2 linked regions of the Canis lupus familiaris genome follow. The protein of the gene in region 1 interacts with the protein of each later gene in a biochemical or structural test. Links are inferred from orthologs where the notes say so. Each region holds a gene or a part of one and is shown on either strand. Other genes may lie near its edges.

Evidence for each region.
Region 2: the proteins of LATS2 (region 1) and MOB1B form a complex in vitro, tested with the Homo sapiens proteins (2 studies listed by BioGRID). The link is inferred for Canis lupus familiaris from reciprocal best matches to the Homo sapiens genes LATS2 and MOB1B.

Annotation. Positions count from the first base shown.
Region 1 is NC_049246.1:17,236,033-17,246,437, reverse strand, and holds part of LATS2 (serine/threonine-protein kinase LATS2), read right to left. Parts: intron 9,520-10,405; coding exon 8,105-9,519; intron 6,775-8,104; coding exon 6,192-6,774; intron 5,029-6,191; coding exon 4,846-5,028; intron 3,048-4,845; coding exon 2,941-3,047; intron 319-2,940; coding exon 1-318. UniProt on the Homo sapiens protein: Negative regulator of YAP1 in the Hippo signaling pathway that plays a pivotal role in organ size control and tumor suppression by restricting proliferation and promoting apoptosis.
Region 2 is NC_049234.1:61,201,199-61,211,703, reverse strand, and holds the start of MOB1B (MOB kinase activator 1B), read right to left. Parts: upstream 7,094-10,505; 5' UTR 6,962-7,093; coding exon 6,948-6,961; intron 6,348-6,947; exon of another isoform or gene 5,805-6,347; intron 1-5,804. UniProt on the Homo sapiens protein: Activator of LATS1/2 in the Hippo signaling pathway which plays a pivotal role in organ size control and tumor suppression by restricting proliferation and promoting apoptosis.

The DNA of each region.
Region 1 (10,405 bases):
ATTATTTGGGGAGGTGAGCGTGTCCCAGGCCTTCGTGCTATCTTCACTAGCATCATTCCAAGGGCTTTCTTCATCTACGGGGTCAAAATTTGAGGTGTCCATGGGGTGGCTGATCTTGGGAACATACGGGGCCGGCTGCTTCCGGATGTCACTTGAGAAGTCAATGGCCCCGAAGAATGGGTGGGCCTTCAGGTCATCGGCCCCATTCCTCCCTAGCCGGTGGTCGGCAGCACAGCACAGTTTGGTGATGAGGTCCCGGGCCTCGGGGCTCAGCTTCACCTGGACTGGAATGTGGAGCGTGTTCTCCCAGTTTATCACCTGACGAGACAACAGAACCCAAATTTTCCTTTCTTTTCACATTTTAAGGCCAGTTTAGGGCAGTTCTGAGACAGTATGTGGTGACATGGCTTTCAAATAATTTTACTTTCATGACGGGACAACAGTTAGAACAAACCCAGGAGCAGCAGTTGCAAACCTGAGCAGCTAGGAAAGGCCAGTGTGGTTTAGTAAAGGGCTCACAGCCTGAGGCAGGGGGTGATGAAGCCAAATAGAGACCAAAAGAGACTGATTTTCTTCTATCAGAAAAAGAGTTTAGCAAAAGAATTTTGTGATTATTATGGCCAACAGATGGTCAACTGAGGTTTTATTAAAAAAAAAAAAAAAAAAAAAAAAAAGACAACCTCACAGAGGAAAATAAAGGTGACTGAACCAATGGCCCTGGCCTCATATTCATGACAGTCAACCACACAGAGCAGCCATTGGGATGTTCAGTAAATACATTTGTTATGAAATGCATCTGCTATGAAAAGAAAACCTAAGAGACTTCTCTATTATTTATACTTAGAATCAGGATAAAGCAAGGCCAAGCTAACAGGCCACAGGCTGGGGTGACAGGGCATTGGTAAGGCATGGAGGCAGGTGGGGTATGGGTGGGAGGGCTGGTTCAAACTTGAGTAGTTGTTTTAGTAGATCTAAAACTGTGAAAGCCACAGAAGAAAACATAGGGGCAAATATTCATGACATTGGATTTGGCAAAATTTCTTGTATATGGTACCAAAAAGCACTGGCAACAAAACAAAAGATACACAAAACGGACTTCATCAAAATTTAAAACTTTTGTGCATCAAAGGACACTATTAACAGAGTGAAAAGGTAACCCCCAGAAAGGGAGAATATATTTGCAAAGCATATATATCTGATCAGGGATTACTGTCCAGAATATATAATATCATGATCCTAGTGTCCTGGGATCAAGTCCCACATCGGGTTCCCCACAGGGAGCCTGCTTCTCCCACTGCCTATGTCTCTGCCTCTCTCTCTGTATCTCTCGTGAACAAATAAGTAAAAATCTTAAAAAAAAAAAAAAAAATCCACAATGAGATACCACCTCACACCCACTAGGATGATTACTATTAAACAACAACAACAACAAATGAAGTAAATGTTGATGAGCATGTGAAGAAACTGGAAGCCTCAAGCACTGATGATGGGAATGTAAAATCATGTAGCCACTGTGGCAAACAGTTTGGTGGTTCCTCAAAAAGTTAAATGTAAAAAAAAAATAAATAAAATAAAAGTTAAATGTAGAATGACCATATGATCTGGCCATTCCACTTCTGGGCATGTAACCCCAAAAACAAAAGCAGGAACTCAAACAGATACTTGTATATGTACTCATGTTCACAGCAGCATTATTCGCAATCACCAAAAGGTAGAAAAAGCCCAATTGTTCATCACCAGATGCTTGATAAATATATGTGCTATACACATACACTGGAATATTCTTCAGCCTTAAAAAGGAAGGAAATTCTGACACGTTACAAGATGGATGGACCTCGAAGACATGCTAAAGTGAAATAAGCCAGTGGTGAAAGGACAAATACGGTATTACACTTTTACAGGATACCTAGACTAGGCAACTTCACAGAGAAAAAAGTCAAAGAGAGGTCTGGGGGTGGGAGGAATGGGGAGCTATTGTTGATGAGCCCAGTTTCTGTTTGGGATGATAAAACTATCGAAGATAGGTTATGGTTACAGTCGTACAACACTGTGAATGCACTTAAAGCCACTCAGCTGTAAAATTAAAAATGTTTAAACTGGTAAATTTTATCACAATAAAAAATTGAGTTATCATACAAGCAAATTAGTGAATGGTATGGCAATTCAATTAGGATAGAAATAGTGTCAAATTTCATTTTTATTGTTACCAGAGTGAAAACTAAGCCTTCATTCAGGATTTTTCTAAATAAGGGATTATTAATTTAGGGTCTAACATGGACTCTGGGACTTATGAATACTTCAAGAATTTTTAGTGAACACATATTTTGGTGGGTAAGTGCACTGTTCAAAGATGTTCCAAAGATTTTATCAAATTCTCAATTCAGTCCTTCCTAAGAAATCAAATCATTTATTTCAGAGAATAATGGTTATAACTCCAAAACTAATTATTTACTATTAAATGATTACTTCCAATCAATATTAGAAAAATGTGCAACTAGCCCAATCACATAGCTGATAATCTGCAAGCAATAATGGATATAGTGTATAATGTAGTATAATATCCAAAGAAGTAATTGATTTCTTCAAGTACAGTTCATAAAGTTTTCAGTATTTTTTGCAGGTAGGCACGTGTGGCAGCAGAGAATGGACATAGGGCCCACCTTTACTGCTTCTCCCTGTTCATAGTTCAAGATGGCGGATGACCAATGGTTCAAGTAAAACTTCAGATATACATAGATATCAAAACACAGGTCTAACTTGGTGGCTTTACTTATTAAAATAAAACTTTTTATACAGGTAATAATAATGATTTAAAAACATACAACTGACACTCTTCCACTACTCAGAATTAAAGGTCAAATGCTGACCAGAGACTCATGGGTTCATCAGAAAACCAAGTGTGTTTGCAGCGAGCAGATGCATGGGCTGGTTAGTACCTACCTTCAGTTGGGTTTCCGTGGGGGTAGGGGCCAGAAAGGGTGGCTGTCCCACCAGCATCTCGAAGAGAATCACACCAACACTCCACCAGTCACAGAGCTGAGTGTATCCTGAAAGACAAAGTCTCACTCAATTCCACACAGGTGTGCATTCTTCTCAGAGAAGAGTTTTGCAAAATCCTCAAATGCTAATTTGCCGTTGAAGGGGAAAGCATGTTCAAGCAGCACACATGTCATGTAAAAGGAAAGCAACCGACACAAAATGTGCCTCCCTGTACGTGTGGCTCAGAATAGCAGGCTGGGTGGGACACCTGCCAGGGTGGTGACAGTCTTCATGTATTCTCTTATTTTCTACAATTAGTCTGTAATAAACACAGGATGCTTTTATAATAAGACTTTCTACTTTTAAAAGCCTATTGTTAGTAACATCACTAACCGGGATTTTCAGTTCTTAAAGAACTGAAAGACATAAACTAAAATAGGACTAACTGAAAACCAGAAAGTGCTCTACCTGCCAGTCCTGAGGGCTTCCCTGGGAGGCTTGCTAAGTCTGTTTTGGAAGAAGTTGAGGAGTATGAAGAGGAGGGCAAAGAAAACAACTGTCTCCTAAGACCTACTGCGATGCACTCAGAGAGCCAGGCCCTTCCTCACGGAGCTCCCAAGGTGCGGTAGCTGCGGCAGGGCGCCTGCAGCTTGGTCAGGCGAGCCAGCCTCACCAAGGCAGTACAACAGGCCCATTTTTCAATTTTCTCCCACTTGTCCTTCAGAGCTCTGCATCCTAGTCCCAGTCATGCTCCAGTCTTGATGTCACCTGATCCTGGCTAAGCCTGAACTGGGCCTTAAGACCTGCCAGCAGCATTTGCTGTGTTCTCCCATCACCCCATCCCCCAGCTCTTCCACCCTGGTCTGGCACTAGAGGTGGCAGGGTAACTTGGATCCCTAGTTCCAGGACTGCACACATTAGGGTGCTGGAGATACTTCTCACCTCCCACTGTGAGAGGAAGGAGACAATGAGACTTTCCTGTGCGGTAAGGCTGATGTTCACAGCAACCTCTCAAGGTAGTTATTGTTATACCTGTGGCTCTGAGTGGTTAAGTGCTTTGCTTTGGATTTCCACAGCTGACAAAGAAAACTGGAGTAAAACAACACATGTGAAAAGACAGACCACCACATGTGAAAAGACAGACCACCGATCTCTGGATTTATTATACTGTCACTAAAAGCCCTGCAACTGATCCCTGAAAGGTTCTTCTCGTACTCAATCAAATGTCGTATTTGATAAAACAGAGCATCCACACAGGAGACTAATTCTACTGAATGCTTGTAGTTGCATGTACACCACTGCCCCCAAATCTCACCTTCCAGCACTTCTGGAACAACAGGGGGAGAACTGGAGGGAAACAATACTTATGTCCTGTCATACTTCATAACCAGCTGAATATAACCATAACCAGCTGGTATAAGCAGCTAGGAACTCAGGCAAGGAAGAGTCAAAGCGGGATCCTGGACGTGTATGGCTTAGGAGACTGAGTAGTGTCCCTGTGCTCTGAGAGATGTGTCTGTCAAAGCAATGTGGAGAGATTCTCTTGGGTTCTAGATAGAAAGCCCAACCCTACACCCCAACCTAACACTTCCCAGCCAAAGGAGTGAACTAGCAAGACACGTCTAATGGTGTATGTCCTCTTTCACCCTGGAAGCAAGGGCAGTTGCAAAAGACATGAGATACATTGGAGGCTTGTTTGTTAGGGAAATAATTTCACTCTTGGGCTTCCACAAGTACAAAAATACAATGAGAACATTCAGAGTCTCAGACAGCTGGAGCTGGAGAGACTCTTAGAGGTCATCTGGCTCAGGTTTGAAGTGAAGATGGCTGCCAGTTGGGCAGCTGGCTGTGGCTGGAAGCACGCACCTTTTCGGAGGAGCACTTCCGGTGCGATGTAATTTGGGGTCCCAACCAGGGAGTGAGCCAGGCACCTCTGGTGCTGCTTCCTGGCTCTCTGCTCCAGGGTCTTCAGCCTGTCTCCACATCGACAATTAGACACGTCGTCCCAGAGGTCACTCGGCTCCATGCTATCCTGTCTGATGTGGCTCCCTTTCATCCAGGAATCAGGGGCAGTGAAGAAGGGAATAAAAAAATGAATTTCCACTATTCAACAATGCAACAAATCCACAATTTCAAAGGGGAAAGTAATTCAGTTCAGCTCCTGACATGTTAAGAGAAAGAATCCTCCCCAACTGCTCTGTAGACTCAATCCATGAGGTAACACAAACACTACGAACAACGGATGAAGCAATGACAGGAGTTGGGTGCTGTGCAGGGTGATAGTGTGATGCTGAGGGAGCAAAGCTCAGGTAACTGTGGCAATATCGTGCATAGCATGCGGGCCAAAGTCTACTACCTGTCTGACAAGACATGTTTCAAGATGAGCGTGGAAAAGCATGAGAGGAATTAAAAAATATAAACAAAAGTGACTTTAATGCCAGAATGAATGGCATTAATGGGAATGAATTAAATTAGGATTAGTTTTGAGTTGAAAAATAGAAGCATGAGGCTCGGTTGATGGAGCATGCAACTCTTAATCTCAGGGTTGAGTTCAAGCCCCACATTGGGTGTAGAGATTACATTAAAAAAAATTTTTTTTAAATAAAATAAAAGGCTGAGCCATGGTATTAAAATGACTATTTCAAGAAATTAAGCCATAAATAAGATAATGGCCAGGAGGACTGCAAAAGATGGTGTTAACCTATACCTACACTTAGAGATACCTATAGAAAAAAATCACATTAGCTATAAGAAGAGGACTCTTGGAAGGTTGTAAGGCTTAGTTTTTAAGGCTCATTTTATAAGGGCAGAGCGATGGTTCCCAACCAAGGTCCACACCCCACAGCCTACTGTCCTAAAAATACTATAATATAACTTGCATCTCCTTCAGGAAGAAAAGGATGTCATATCAAATTATAGAATAATGGAAAACAGATAATTTCAAAATGATCAGGAGCCACCAGGATGGGAAAGCATTGCCTTAGTTCAGTTATGTCTAGATGTAGAAAGTGGATGTGGCGGGCAGCCCCGGTGGCTCAGCAGGTTAGCGCCACCTTCAGCCCAGGGTGTGATCCTGGAGACCCAGGATTGTGTCCCACATCGGGCTTCCGGCATGGAGCCTGCTTATCCCTCTACCTTTCTCTGTGTCTCTCATGAATAAATAAAATCTTAAAAAAAAAGAAAAAGTGGATGTGGCACGTCTGAGACAATACCTTTCTGGTAGTATTTGGAATTGTGAGTCCATCTGAACCCAGTGCAGAGGCCAAAATCTGTCAGTTTGATGTGACCATCAAGATCTATCAAAATGTTGTCTGGCTTGATGTCTCGGTGGATGAAGCCCATTTTATGGACACTCTCAATGGCCAGAGTCAACTCTGCAATGTAGAACCGGGCCAGGTGCTCAGGGAATACCTCCATCCGGATCAGCAGGCTCATCATATCCCCCCCTGGGATGTAGTCCATCACAAAGTACAGGCTGTCCTTGTCTTGGAAGGAGTAGTAGAGTTTGACTACCCACTCATTGTCCGCCTCGGCCAGGATGTCCCTCTCAGCCTTGACATGGGCCACCTGATTTCGGTTCAGGACATCCTTCTTCCTCAGGGTCTTCATGGCATATAGGGCATGAGTGTCCACCTTACAAGCAAGGCACACTTCTCCAAAGGCACCGATCCCCAGGGTTTTGATTTTCACAAACATGGACTTGTCCATTTTGGCCCTCTTCAGCCTGTTGTAATTAGACTCCTTCTGGTAGAGGATCTTTCTCATCTGTTCCTGCTCAGCTTCACAAAGTCCAGCCTGTGGAGAAGGAAAACAAGGAAGTCACATTATTGGTCACATGATAGGAAACAGGTGGGGCGGGAGACCCTAGAACTGAGACAGTCCTAACTTAATTTTCATATTTAAGAACACTGAATAGGTCCAGTATACTAACAAGCAACTGGTTTGTTCTTTATATGCTTATGTAGACACACATCTGGAATCTAAAGGGAAGATAAAACAGGTGAAATTACTTCCTTTTTAGGCTCTAAAGGAAACCTCTATAAATAAAAATTTTTGAAAAGGGGACCACAAAGTTCCTGGAACTCTAAGAGCAATCTAATAATTGAATAGCTCAAGGAAAATGGGAACAAAGAAAAATCAATGAAAATGGGAGAGCAGAAAGAGCACAGATTTTTAGAATTTGCAATGATTGACTTTGTGTGATTTCAATTTACTGTAACATTTTAATTTAAATCATTTCCTCAATAACCTTCTCTAGCAGATTACTGTCAACTAAGGTACATTTAAAATATTTGCTGAGGGACGCCTGGGTGGCTCAGTGGTTGAGCATCTGCCTTCGGCTCAGGGCATTATCCTGGAGTCCCGGGATCCAGTCCTACATCAGGCTCCCTGCACAAAGTCTGCTTCTCTCTCTGCCTATGTCTCTGCTTCTCTGTCTCAGTGTCTCTCATGAATAAATAAATAAAATATTAAAACATATATATGTATTTGCTGGGTGTCTGGGAGGCTGTCGGTTAAGCATCTGCCTTGGGCTCAGGTCATGATCTCCGGGTCCTGAGATGGAGTCATGCATTGGGCTCCCTGCTCAGTGGGGAGTCTGCTTCTCCCTTTCCCTCTGGCTTTTGCCTCTCCCCCTGCTGTGCTCCCTCTGTCCCTCTCCCAAATAAATAAAATCTTAAAAAAAATATTTGTTAATTATAGAATTAAAGGATAAATAGATTGTTACCAGATATATTTTTCTTTATAAATCCCACAATTTCAATTTATAAAATCTCAAACTTTGTTTCTACCCTTTCAAAGTGTTTAAGTACCAGTTACTAAAATTTGACAAATTTTGTTAATAAATAAGGACTGACCCTAAAAATCGATCTGGCAATCTGCCTGTTGGGGGAATCATGCACAGTGTTCACTGCTCACCTGCAGAGTCAGTGTGAACGTGCAACAGATCCAGCAACATCTGTGACATTGCCAAGCTGTTCGCCTATAACCCACCATCGCCCCGTGAGACTAATTGTTTGTAATAAAGGTGCATAAAGCAGAAACAGAAATGGGATTCTGCTGTAATTCCCATTACCACTTTAGGAAAGAACCAGGGCCCAATGATAAGGACATAATGAGAAATTACTTTTGCCATTTCCTGCTCCAGCTGCAACCTTCGGTTGACCTTCTGCTGGTAGGTTTTTATGACGTTTTCCACGTGCTGCTCCATGAAGAACTTAAACGCGTATGGGGAGTAGCTCTTGATGCGGGACTCCCTCTTCTCTTCATCTCTGCTGTTTTTCCGAACAGGAACAGGAGAGGTCTGAATCTGCTTTTTATCCTTCCCTGCTTTGTCCCCTTTGGCGCTCTTGTGGCTCTTGTCAGTCTTGTCGGCAGGCTCTGCAGCCTGGCTCCCACGGAGGCTCTGCTCCAGGCCCGCGCACAGGCTGTCCACATCGTACTGTTCGGACTTACTGCGGAGTAGCAGGTGTTTGGGGTAGGGCGGGGGTGGGCACCTCAGGTCTGGGCTGCCATAGTCAACATCCAGCGGGTACGCACTGGCGCCCCCCAGGGGCAGAGGGTGCTCATCCTTGGCGTCCAGACCCTCGGCTCCAGAGGGGGTGGGCGCTGGCACCCAGGCTGGGTGGGAGGGCCCCACAGCCGTCTGAGGCTCGGGCCGCATCACCCTCACACTCTTCACTGGGTGCAGGATGTGGGCGGCTGTCACAGCTGTGATGGTGTTGGGGGAGGGCATGGACGGCTCTGTCTTGCTGGGCACTCCCGCCCGGATGGGCACGGCCACTGGCTGCTGGTGGTTGTTGAAGGAGTTGGTTCTGCTAGGGACAGGGCCTTCAGGCAGGAATGCCACGTGCTGGCGGGCTGGTGCCTCCAGGCCTGGCTTCTGAAGAGAGTCACGGCGGGACAGGGTAGAGGACTGCCACTGCTGGACAGGAGGGCTGCTCAGGTCATATAGGTCCACGTTGAGGCTGTTTCTGGAGGGTGTCATCAGACTCTGGGGGGGGCTGTCGCTGGTGAACACCTGGCCCCTGGAGCCCAGCATGTGCACCTGGTGGGCCTGCTTGTGGTGCGTGTGGGGCATATACAGACCTGTCGGTGTTCCCGTGGGCGGGAACGCATGGCCAGCCCCAGGCTGCCCACCTGGGCCCTTGGCAGCCAAGTTTGCATAAGCTCCGGCCTCCTTGTTTTGGAAGGAGGGGCTGCGCTGGATGCCATAGCCCAGCGGCTCCCCAGGCACCAGCAGGTGTGGCCTGTAGTGGGGGCCTTGCAGCGGGAGGGCTTGGCCCCCAGGGCCAGCCACTGGGAAGCTCATGCCCGCGGCCTCCATGTTTGCGGCATAGCCTTTGGGCTGGTGCTGATGGCCACTGGGCACACTGTGAGTGCTTCCAGTGAAGAGAAAGTCCATGTACTGGCGAGGCACCTCCTCCAGTGTGCTGCCACCCTCGTAGGCTGCCGCACTCATCTGATGGTAGGGTGGGAAAGGGTCACCTGTTCCTTCAAAGCTTGGCCTCCGTGGTACAGAGGCTGGTACGGTTCCCTTTCCTGCAGAGAACAGAAGAGGGACATGGCATTAGTGGGGAGCCTGTGCAGCTGGTCTGCCTCTTGCAGACTGGCCCCGCCTGCCGGCAGTGTCCTTGGGGCTGGCCCTGCTGCAGGCTCTTCCATGAGCCCAGGCCCTCTGGAAGGCCCTTTGACAAAGGCTGAACTCTGCTGTGGGCAGATCCTGGGGAACTTCTGGGTCACAGGCTCTGCCCTGCCCCCCGAGGTCCCTCACAGGGATACCTGGCAGAGCCGAGAACCTCTACAGACATCAACTAGTGCAGAAGCACAGACAAACAATGACTGTCTTCCTGGGCTAAGAAGATGCATCAATGAATACACATCAGAGGCAAATGTAGAAGAAAATCATAACAGATTTGGGCCTGCATTTCCCTTTGGGGCTCTGCCCCAAGACAGACTCTGGGACTCTAAGAATCTTGACAGGGATAGCCGGCAGGCAAGGGTTTAAGGGTCTTCTATCAACAAGAAAACAAGAGTTTGTGCCCTCTTAACAAAGATACAATTTCTCACTCAACAGAGGAAGGGAGTTTTATCAAAGATCAAAGACAAAATAAGGAAAGCCCTTTTTGCTAACTATCCTAAATCCCTTATCATGCCCAGGGACCTCAGGTACCAAAAATTGTCCCTCCCATTTGCTCTATCCTCAAAAAGGAACATTCACTGACAGCCAATGAGGCAGAGCATTTGGTGCTGGTGCCTCTGGCCCTTCCCAGGGGATACTGAGGGGTTGTCTAGGCCACTGCCTACGGCCTCCAGGCTGGAGAGACGTCTTCCAGCCTGCTCTGAGGCTACAGTGTGAGAAATCACTGTATTTTAAAGTCAATGAAATAGGGGCACCTGGGTGGCTCGGTCGGTTAAGCAACTTCGT
Region 2 (10,505 bases), on another chromosome or scaffold:
GATAAAATAATAGTAGCAATAAAAGAAAATGCAAACTTTCCTTCATAAATAGTAATAATAAGACTACTTGGCTATGAGGTAAACCACTACTCAAATATTTGCTTGCCTTCAACTCCTGCTTTTAAGTTCTAACTGCAGAAAAATCAAAGTAGCACTGATACATATGATTATAAACCTACAGAAATTGTGTATGATTTAAGCAATCAGAATGATGAATATGTCAATAAAAAATAACAACAGCTACTAGCAATCATGACACTGTTGAGTTATCAATAATGAACTAGATATTGCTGCTGCACTTAACTATAATTTATTGAGCTAGGCCTTTTACATTCAATATCTTTAATTCTTCCAACATCTCTGAGGTCTTGATCCTAACACAGGATTCATAGGAAAAAAATTAGATTACTGTCATACTCGTACCATACACAGTGGAGTCTCAGTCTGCTTTCAATACGGCTGAAGCAGGGGCCTGCACATGCTCTGGAGACATGGATGACATGTGGAAGCTGGAGCCACAACAAGGGTGGTGGCCAGGAAGGGTTAGGAGAATGGCAATGCACAGTCGTTTGAGCAAATACATATGTTGAGAATTATGGGAGCCTATTTTTCACTAACAAAGTGAAAAATATGTGAAGAGAGAAAGTAGAATGAACCCTGTGCTACTCGGATCAGACCTGCAGATATTAGTATGAACTCACTCAATACATACATGTAAATGTATGTGGACATGGTATTTTCTAGCACTATCTGCTGAGAGGGCCTGGGAACAGCAACATATCTGTACTAACATACCTATCACCTACATTCTGTTTTCTAAATACCATTTTTCAATGAACAGAATAAACACCTTTAGAGAAATGGCCATTTCCAGGTACAGGGCACAGAAAATGTAGGACAAATCTGGAATACCTGGTTGTGCCAGAAAGTTAGGAAATACTCAGAAAAAGAGACAAGCAGAGAGACTTAGAAACCAGACTGAACAGGGCTCCCACTAGCCAAAGCTGAAACATTAGGAGCATCAACATAAATAATTATAGTTATAAATCATTAAATACAATAGGAATCAAAATGCCTCCACTGATAGATAAAATTCTTCAGTAAAAATGTCAAATAAATGTAAAAGCCTGACAGAATTAGAACACAGCCATCAATGTAATAAGTAGTAATAAGTTAGACAAGAAACATCAAAGAACACTAAAACTAGTGGGTGAAAACAAAATGAGGAATGAGACAGTTCCACAGTCTCAAAACACCTCCCCACAAAATATTAATTACTCAAAGGAAAAAACATATATAATAATGTCACACTGGAGAATCTCTGTAGACGCTTTAATCAAAGGATCACTTCCAATCATGGGCAAACATATGTTAAATGCACCATAAGAAGCTATAAGATAAACCTATGTAACACTTCTGTAATATTTTTGCCCCAAATGCATAACCAGGTCTAACCACAAGAAAACATGACAAACTCAAACTGAAGGATATTCCACAAAATAACTGGCCTATAATCCTCAAAAATATCAAGGTCCTGAAAGGCAAGGGAAAACTTAAGGAAATATTTCAGTTGGAAGAAGGCTGAAGAACAAAATTGGGTGAGTCATGACTGGACCCTTTTGCTGAGGATAACATTATTGGATCACACTAAATGGGGTCTCTGGATAAAAACTATGTAGGAATTCTTTGGGCTATTTTTTGCAACTTTTCTAAAAATCTGAAAATCTTTCAAAATAAAATTTAAAAACCACTTTCTACAAATGAACAGGTTTCACAGCTACACTTTTTACTAAATGAGCTATGAAGGATGGCCTTAAGTTAGATGATTGATACAAAACAAAAATGCAAGTTGTACTCTTGAAGCTAACATAATGTTATATATCAATTATATCTCAATTTTAAAAAACGGAAATGTGGAAAGAAGAGTTAAAAAAATTTCTCTATAAGACTTAACGCTCCTAAAAGGTACCATTTTTTCAAGTACACGTAGCTATTCTGTCCCAATACCTCATAATCAAATATACAGCTGAGAAGAAGTACTACATGTGCTTTTGTATATTAGACACTCCAAAGGTACAAAAACTCTGCAACTATGAGGGCAAAAAAAAAAAAAAATCAATAATGATAAAAGTGATCACATAGTAATTATTTTGCACTCAGTAATGTAAAGCAAAAGCAATTCTATATTAGAGAGGAAAAGTAAACTAAACCCAGTCAGGTATCTACAATTCTCAAACTGTAGTTCTAAAAGATGACCACACTTAATCTACTCCCCCACCCCTCAAAAAAAGCATAACATAGTAAATCAGGCTGTCAGAAAACAAAACTGTTAACACTTGGTCAACAGCCATTCAAAATCATATTGCAGAATGATGTTTGCTGACATAAAAAAATTCCCAAATGGAAAATCTGGTCTATATGTAGTAGAAACGTGGCAGGAAAGATGAGGAAACTATATCACAGAATACAAATAATAGTTATTTTGGAAGGTGTAATGATTATGAGTGACTTATTTTCTTGCTTTTCTTAGCACTATATTGTGATTTCTGCAACATGTGTATTATTTTTACATTAAAAATGGGAGTCAAGGGGCACCTGGATGACTCTGGTTGAGCATCTGCCTTTGGCTCAGTTCGTGAACCTGGGGTCCTGGGACTGAGTCCCGCATCAGGCTCCCACAGGGAGCCTGCTTCTCCCTCTGCCTGTCTCTGCCTCTCTGTGTCTCTCATAAATAAATAAATAAAATCTTTTATAAAAGATGGAAGTCAAAAATAATTATAAGTATTATTTAAATTTAAAAGCTTCTATTTTTTTCTTCCACTATTATATTCTTGGTGACCCTTAGCAAACAGTCCAGGAGTATGAGCTATTAATACCTGGGAATGGGAGACTTCTAAAAACAAGGCCTTTTGAATACTATCTTTTTATATAATTTTTTTTTAATTTTTATTTATTTATGATAGTCACACAGAGAGAGAGAGAGAGGCAGAGACACAGGCAGAGGGAGAAGCAGGCTTCAGGCACCGGGAGCCCGATGTGGGATTCGATCCCAGGTCTCCAGGATCGCGCCCTGGGCGGGCCAAAGGCAGGCGCTAAACCGCTGCACCACCCAGGGATCCCATCTTTTTATATAATTTTATCAATTATAGATATGAGGCAGGACTGTTGGATTTAGACTGCTAAAATTCAGACCCCTGCTATTATCACTGGCCCCATAATTTTAAACAAATTATTTAACCTCTCTTTGCTAGTTTCTTCTTCTGCTAGTTATTGAACTAAGTTAATCATTTAGAGCACTGAGTGCCTGGCACATGGTAAACACTTAGCAATATTTATTATTACTATTATTAATATTAGTTTCCTTTATAGGTGAAGATGCTGAAGCACTCCAGTCAGTCAGCTTATTTGCCTTAAAACAAAGATGCTGGGGTTATTTTTGGTGAGGGGGGGCAGGACTGAAAGAGGTAGAAGAGGGAGACAGAGACACATATAAACACAGCTACATCTCCTTTCCTAAATTGCTATTATTTTGGAAAAGATAAATTGAATTTACCTAGAATAATGCTCAGTATTTCCTTCCTTTCCCAACAGATCTGATTCTCCCTATACAGAAACAGACCTGGTTTATATTCATTCACATCCCTAAACCACCTTTCCTCCAGACTTCCATTTTAAAGTTAACTACAAATATTTGTTTTAACTCTGTTCCAATCAAGTAGCCCTACATTAGGAAATAATATCTTGGTCTTTTCCAAGTCAAATATTTCAGTGAAATTCTATTGGTCAGAAGAGACCAGCAATTACAAAATGCTAGAAACAGAAAACACTCAACGTACTCTGAATGAACATTGAGAACTCACTCTGATCCTAAATTTCCCTGAATGTTATGTGCATAAAATGCCAAGAGAGGAAAAACCCTAAAAGGCCTGTGTTTCAATTCAACACAAGCCAATAATTAGGCCGGTAACCTGATGTCAGTGATTTTGCCATTTTACCCAAAAGAGGTTGAGTAAGCTATGTTACTATAGATCCCATCTAGCTCCACAATTCCATAGCCTCCTGGACAAACCTGAAAATGGACAATTCACAAGCAAATTCACGTTTCTGTGATGTTTCCTGCGACTGAAATCTTCTAGTTTCCCACACCCTTTTAGAGAACCCTTGTTATACATTCCATTAACTATCAATCACTTATTTCAAGAAGCCTTCCTCCAGCCCAAATAAAGCAAATTATTCCATATTCTTTAGACCTCCATGACTGTATTGCATCTATTACAGATGACTATTTATAAACTGTCTACCACTCTGGAGTTCCACATTGCGCACAATGCTTAGCACACAGCAGGTGCTGAGGATGTTTAAAGATTTGAGACTACAAAGTTAAATTAGGTTCCTGTGAAGTTTCCCTATGTACATTTGGGAGTTTAGCTTATTAATCTGAAGATACATAAAGGCCAATGTGTAGCACAACCAAAGCTTTGTCCCAGTCATATCTATAGATGCTGTACAATTTATTCTGAGCATTTGCACAAAAGCTATAAAAGGTATCATTGCTGCTGATTATCTGGGTACCGTTTGGGGATTACCTAATCTACCTCATCTCCCCTTCCAAAAAAACCTCTTTACCCTGCTTTACTTTGTTCCATGGCACTTACATCCTCCTACAATGCAATATAATTTACTGGTATTCAGTGTTTATGGTCACTTACCAAAACATAAGCTGAACTAATACAGGAATTTTTGTCTGTTTTGTTCATAAATGATACCCGGTGCCTACATCAGTACCTGGCACAATAAACGATTTTCTTAACCAATAATTCTCTCCTTCTGACTTAAAGCCGTCAGGAGTTATGAGTCAGCATCTTCATAAACCTATCTCACATTGCCCTTATTTCCTCGGCTCCATCATTTACAGTAGCCTTACAAGTAGGCTTCCAAGAGCTAGAAGAAAATGTTTACATTTACTTCCTAACTTGCAACTTTTAATTTTCCTGCTCACCTACTGGTACAGAAATAGGTGTATATCTTCAGGAAGATATACCAAATAATATATAGATGAAATAATCAAAACTTTGTTCTTTCACTTTGATAATAATTACTTCTATCCATGAGGTCTTCACTTTAGATTTGAAACTACTGGTAGACAAAAAACAAAACCAATAAGGTTGGATTAACTTTTTTGGATTGTCAGGCATGAGGGCCAAATATATTGGGAATGTATTAACTGCTACATGAAACCTAACTGAAAAATTGTGCTCCAGACAGTACAAACCTATAATGTGGTATATATATATACACATATATATATACACACATTTGTTATGGCAGGGTTTTTCTTATGTAACTTGTATGCTTCAGAAGAAATGAACTTAAGCACTGCATTTCAGTAACTATAAAATACTGAGCCATGTAAAAATAGGATACTATTCTATTTGTATTCAGAAAATATCACCAAGACCTTCTCGAGACATCCCCTAGTTTCAGCCAAATATGGTTCTTCCCTGCTTCAACCAATTTAGCTCTGAGTTCCAAGAGACACAAGCCCATCGGCAGCAGTCATGGACATCATCCACATTGCTATTTTGAAGACAGCTTCTACATTCTTGAAGAAATCAAATACAAGCAATGTAAAACATAGTCTAGATGAGAAGCTTCAAGCTGAGACACCTGGATACCTGGATTCAAGCTAAAACTGGAAGCAGAGACCTTCATAAAGTCACCCAGTCCTCTCATGTAGCACACCTGTATGACACACTCAGATCAACTTCCAGGATGAGCCTAAGAAAGAGATTTCACCAACTCACATGTGTTCCGCAGGGTGACTCAAGGCAGGGCTCCTGTGCACACGAGAAATATCAAGCCCACCACCTGCCAGTTAATGTTCTGTGATCACAGCTTTGCATAATGCCCGGAAAACGATTAAAATCCCACGTATGAGCACGTGAAATTAAGGGTCAATTAAATTCTCAGGATCCAAGTGCCAATGTTGATGACTAAAAAATTACAGGTGGGGAAAGAAGGAAATCGGGACACAACTGCTAGGGTCATTGTTGTGAAGGAAAATGCTATCCCGTCCACGGCAGTAAAGGAGTATAAGGTGCAAGTTTCAGCCTCCGAGTCTTTATGAGCTTCTCTAACCACAGACTAAACGTGGGTGAATCACAACGAAGCCTTCAAAAGAGGAATTCCGAGGGTGTCAAGTCCTGTTTGCTGACGACCTGAGGCTGTCTGCTGCCCCCATACTCCCATTTGCCCATCCCGTTGGTCTGCCCATCCCTCCTAAAATCGTCCACAATAAAGGACGAATAAATGAAATAACGACCAGTCCTAAACGTGACGTTATTGGCATTTTCAAATCCTTCGCAAAACAACTCCCCGCGGACCTAATCAAGCCCGACTGATGGGTGCTTGTCTGAAAGGATGAGGCCCGGACTTCCCGGGGGCGCACGCCGGGGAGGGGCGGGGGGAGGCAGGCGGCTCTGCAGACCCCGAGGCCTCGGGCTGTCGCCAGGGCATCCGGACCCGAAAGCAGCCTCGTTAAGGGTGTCCCCTCCACGGGGCTCGGCGCCCCGACTTCCACTCCTAAAACCTAAGGGGAAAGTTAAAAGGGCGCTGAGGCCACAGGGGGGAAAAAAAAAAAAAGCGCAGCGCCCACTCTTCTATGCTCGGGACCCAGAAGGAGGCGGCGGGCGGCAGCTGGCGGCGCAGGACGCACGGGCCGGGGAGGGGAGGGGAGGGGCAGCAGGTGTCCCCGCAGCGCAGCCCAGCGCAGCGCGCGAGCCCCGGGCAAGGGGCAGGGAGGCTCGGAGCCGCGGGGTGCAGGGCCGGGCGGACAGAGCCTGCTCGGGGGCTGCGGGGCTGCAGGGGGGCCGGGACCGCGGGGGAGCCCCCGCCCCCCCCCCCGGGGCCGCCCGAACAAAGCCGGCGCGCGGGGCCCGGCGACTCACAACAAGAAGCTCATGTCGGCCGCGGCGCGGGCTGGGCGGCGTCTCTAGGCCTCGGGGCGGCAGGCGCGCGGGAGCAGGAGGAAGGCGGCGCCGGCTTCTCCGCGGCGCGACCAGCTCGGCTCTGCTAGTTCCAACGGCAGGCAGAGGGGGCGGGAGGGAGAGGCGCCCGGCGCGGATCGCCCTCCGGGAGGCGGGGAAAGGCCGCACGCCCGCCCCCGGGAGCACAGCCGCCGCCGCCGCCGCAGAGCCGCCCCCTCCCCTCCCCCTCCTCCCGCTTCGCCCCGCCCCCCGCGGCCCTCACCCCGCGAGCTCTCGCGAGAGCGGCGCGCGCCCACCCTCCTCCTCCCGCGGAGCCCGCCCGCCGCTACCGGCCCGTGCACCGGGTCGGGGGCGCGGCGCTGCCCCGCGGGGCTCCAGCAGCCAGGAGGGAAGCGAGCGCCGACCCCGGGATGCCGGGGCTCTGCAGCGAGGGACGGATCTGCCCGCGGAGACCCGCCGGCTGCGGATGTGCCAGGGATGACGAAGGCGGGGCCGCCCCTGCCGCCTTAGAGACCCGAGGAGGGCAACGTGTTTGGAACAGGTTGGGCGTGGCTCCGCCGGAGCCCGGGAGTCTGCGTGGGGCTCAGGGTCCCTGCCATCGTGAGGTCGCGCCTGAGAGCCCTGAACCGGGGGCCGCCCGGGGCCGTCACTGCCTCCGCAGGCAGCTTAGGCTGTCCTCGGCCCTGGTGCCCGGAGCGTTCCTGAGCAGATCCCAGAGTTTGGCCCAGAACCCTTGACTCCGAAATGCGGAGCTCTGCAAGGGAGACTGAGCCATGTCCGGCCTCCAGGATGCTTCGTGCAGCGCCCAGCGGTTACAGTGGTCCTGGGCCCCGTAAATGCTTGCTGAATCAGCATCCGCCGAGAGCCAACCCCCCCCCCCCCAACGTTATCAATTTGAGGACCCATTTATTGCACATGACATGTGCATCTCTACGCGCAGCAAGCACCAAATCACAAGTAAGCGGCGCCGGGGTGGCTCAGTGAGGTGCCTGCCTTTGGCTCAGGTGCTGATCTCAGGATCCCGGGACCCAGCCCCTGTTGCACTCCCTGCTCAGGGGACAGCTTGCTTCTCTCTCTCCCTTTATTGCTCCCCCTGCTTATGCTTTCTCTCTCTCTGTCAAATAAGTGACTTTTTTGAATCTTAAAAAAAAATCGACAAGTAAATTTTCAAAGTATCTGAACAAAACTTAAATAATGTGCAGCTATTAACCCACCTTGGGTTGGTTACTTAAAAGAAGTACTAATATGCAGTGTATTCTGTTGCGTTTGTGCACTATTACTTTGGCAAATCAAACCATGTTTTAAAAATGAGGAAAATAGGGATCCCTGGGTGGCGCAGGGGTTTGGCGCCTGCATTTGGCCCAGGGCGCGATCCTGGAGACCCGGGATCGAATCCCACATCGGGCTCCCGGTGCATGGAGCCTGCTTCTCCCTCTACCTGTGTCTCTGCCTCTCTCTCTCTCTCTCTCTCTCTCTCTCTCTCTGTGACTATCATAAATAAATAAAAATTTAAAAAAAAGAAGAAAATCTTGGAATCTTGACACCAACTCCAAAGAAGCAGAGGTCACTGGAATAATTTGAGACTTAAAGACTCAGAAGATGCAGGAAAGAAGAGGGGAAGAATCCATCTTAATATAGTGAAGATAATGGATTTACGACAAAAGCCCACATCTTGATTTGGTGCTACTAATTTACTATATCATTCCTTAAGGGTCTTCTGAAAGTAAGACCTTGAATTAACCAGATTAGGAAATTATGTTTGGGGGGAGTAAATCAGTTGACCTGTTCAAACAACCGTCTCACCCCTGTTAAAATGAGAGCCTTGGATTATTACATGATCTGTAAGATATCTTCCAGTTCTAAAATCTGTTATGTCAGGGGTTTCATTCAAAGGACTGGCAGACAGTTCTCATCTGCTCACTGACTTGGTAGGTGGCTTATGTGGCTTTGCTTTTGTTCTAACACAGTTTAGATGAATTCTATGACACTGAATCAGAATAATGATCAGCAGAGGAGAGAATCTGCCAAATTACCTGCTGAGTTCTTCTTTTCATATCTCAAGGAGAGCTGCCTGAAATTAACGCCTGATAAAATTTAAATATATTGGTCTTAGAAATGATAGAGGTGTCATGTTAATAATACAGAATATAATTCCAGAGATTAAACATTTAAATCATACTGTGGCTGTCACAAAATTATTCAGCTTCAAAAGCACTGGAAAATTTAGAATCAAATAAAGGGTATATTCAAATAGACGTTTCTAATGACAATTTCACCTTCACCAATTCATATTTCATATTACTCTCCTCTTAAAATTTCAAGAAGTTACTCTCCTGATCAAAATCTTATTTTATTTATAAATATTTGTTTATGTGGGCACTTGGGTAGCACAGTCAGTTAAGCATCTGCCTTCTGTTCAGATTGTGATCCCAGGATCCTAGGATCGAACCCCGCATCAGGCTCCTTGCTCAGTGGAGAGCCTGCTCTCCCTCTCCCTCTGCCCCTAGCCCCCAACCCCTGCTCATGCACTCTCTCTCTCCTGCTCTCTTCCTATCTCAAATAAATAAATAAAATCTTCCCCCAAAATAAGTCTTTGTTTATGAAGGAAGATGATTAAAATTTGTATTTACCAATTTTTCAAAGAATTGACACTATAACAAGAATAGAACAGAACATGTATGGATATACCTTCAAATATCTTTTTAAAAGACTCATTCAGGGGATCCCTGGGTGGCGCAGCGGTTTGGCGCCTGCCTTTGGCCCAGGGCGCGATCCTGGAGACCCGGGATCGAATCCCACGTCGGGCTCCCGGTGCATGGAGCCTGCTTCTCCCTCTGCCTGTGTCTCTGCCTCATTCTCTCTCTCTCTCTGTGACTATCACAAATAAATAAAAATTTTTTAAAAAATGTCCTTTAAAAAAAAAAAGACTCATTCAGAAGCACCTGGTGGCTCAGTTGGTTGGGCGTCTGCCTTTGGCACAGGTCATAATCATGGGGCCCTGGGATTGAGCCTCATGTTGGGCTCCCTGCTCAGCGGGGAGCCTGCTTCTCCCTCTCCCTCTGCTGCTCCCACTGCTTGTGCTCTCTCTCAAATGAATAAATAAAATATTTTACAAAAGTTAAAATAAAAAGTTTCGTTCAAATTTACAAGTAAGTGTAATTATATATATATAAATATAAACAAACAATAGTTATAAATTGTGGTAAGATAGGAAGTAAATAGAATAATGTGATAGTACCAGTGAAGGGAGAGCTAAGAAAAGCCTCCCTAAGGAGGTGACATTTTTGCTAAGACCTGAAACAGAGAAGGAGCCAGACTTGCGAAGAGCGAGCAGATGAGCATTTTCTGGTAGAGGAAATAACAAGCACAAATGCTCTAAGATAAGAAAGAGCTTAAGGAGTTCTTAAAACTGAAAGGTTATAACCTGGGCAAGTGAGCAAGAAGAATGGCATCAGATAAAGCTGGACATGTCCGAGGGCAGGCTGGGGTTCACAGGCCTAGGCAAGACATTTGGAGAAG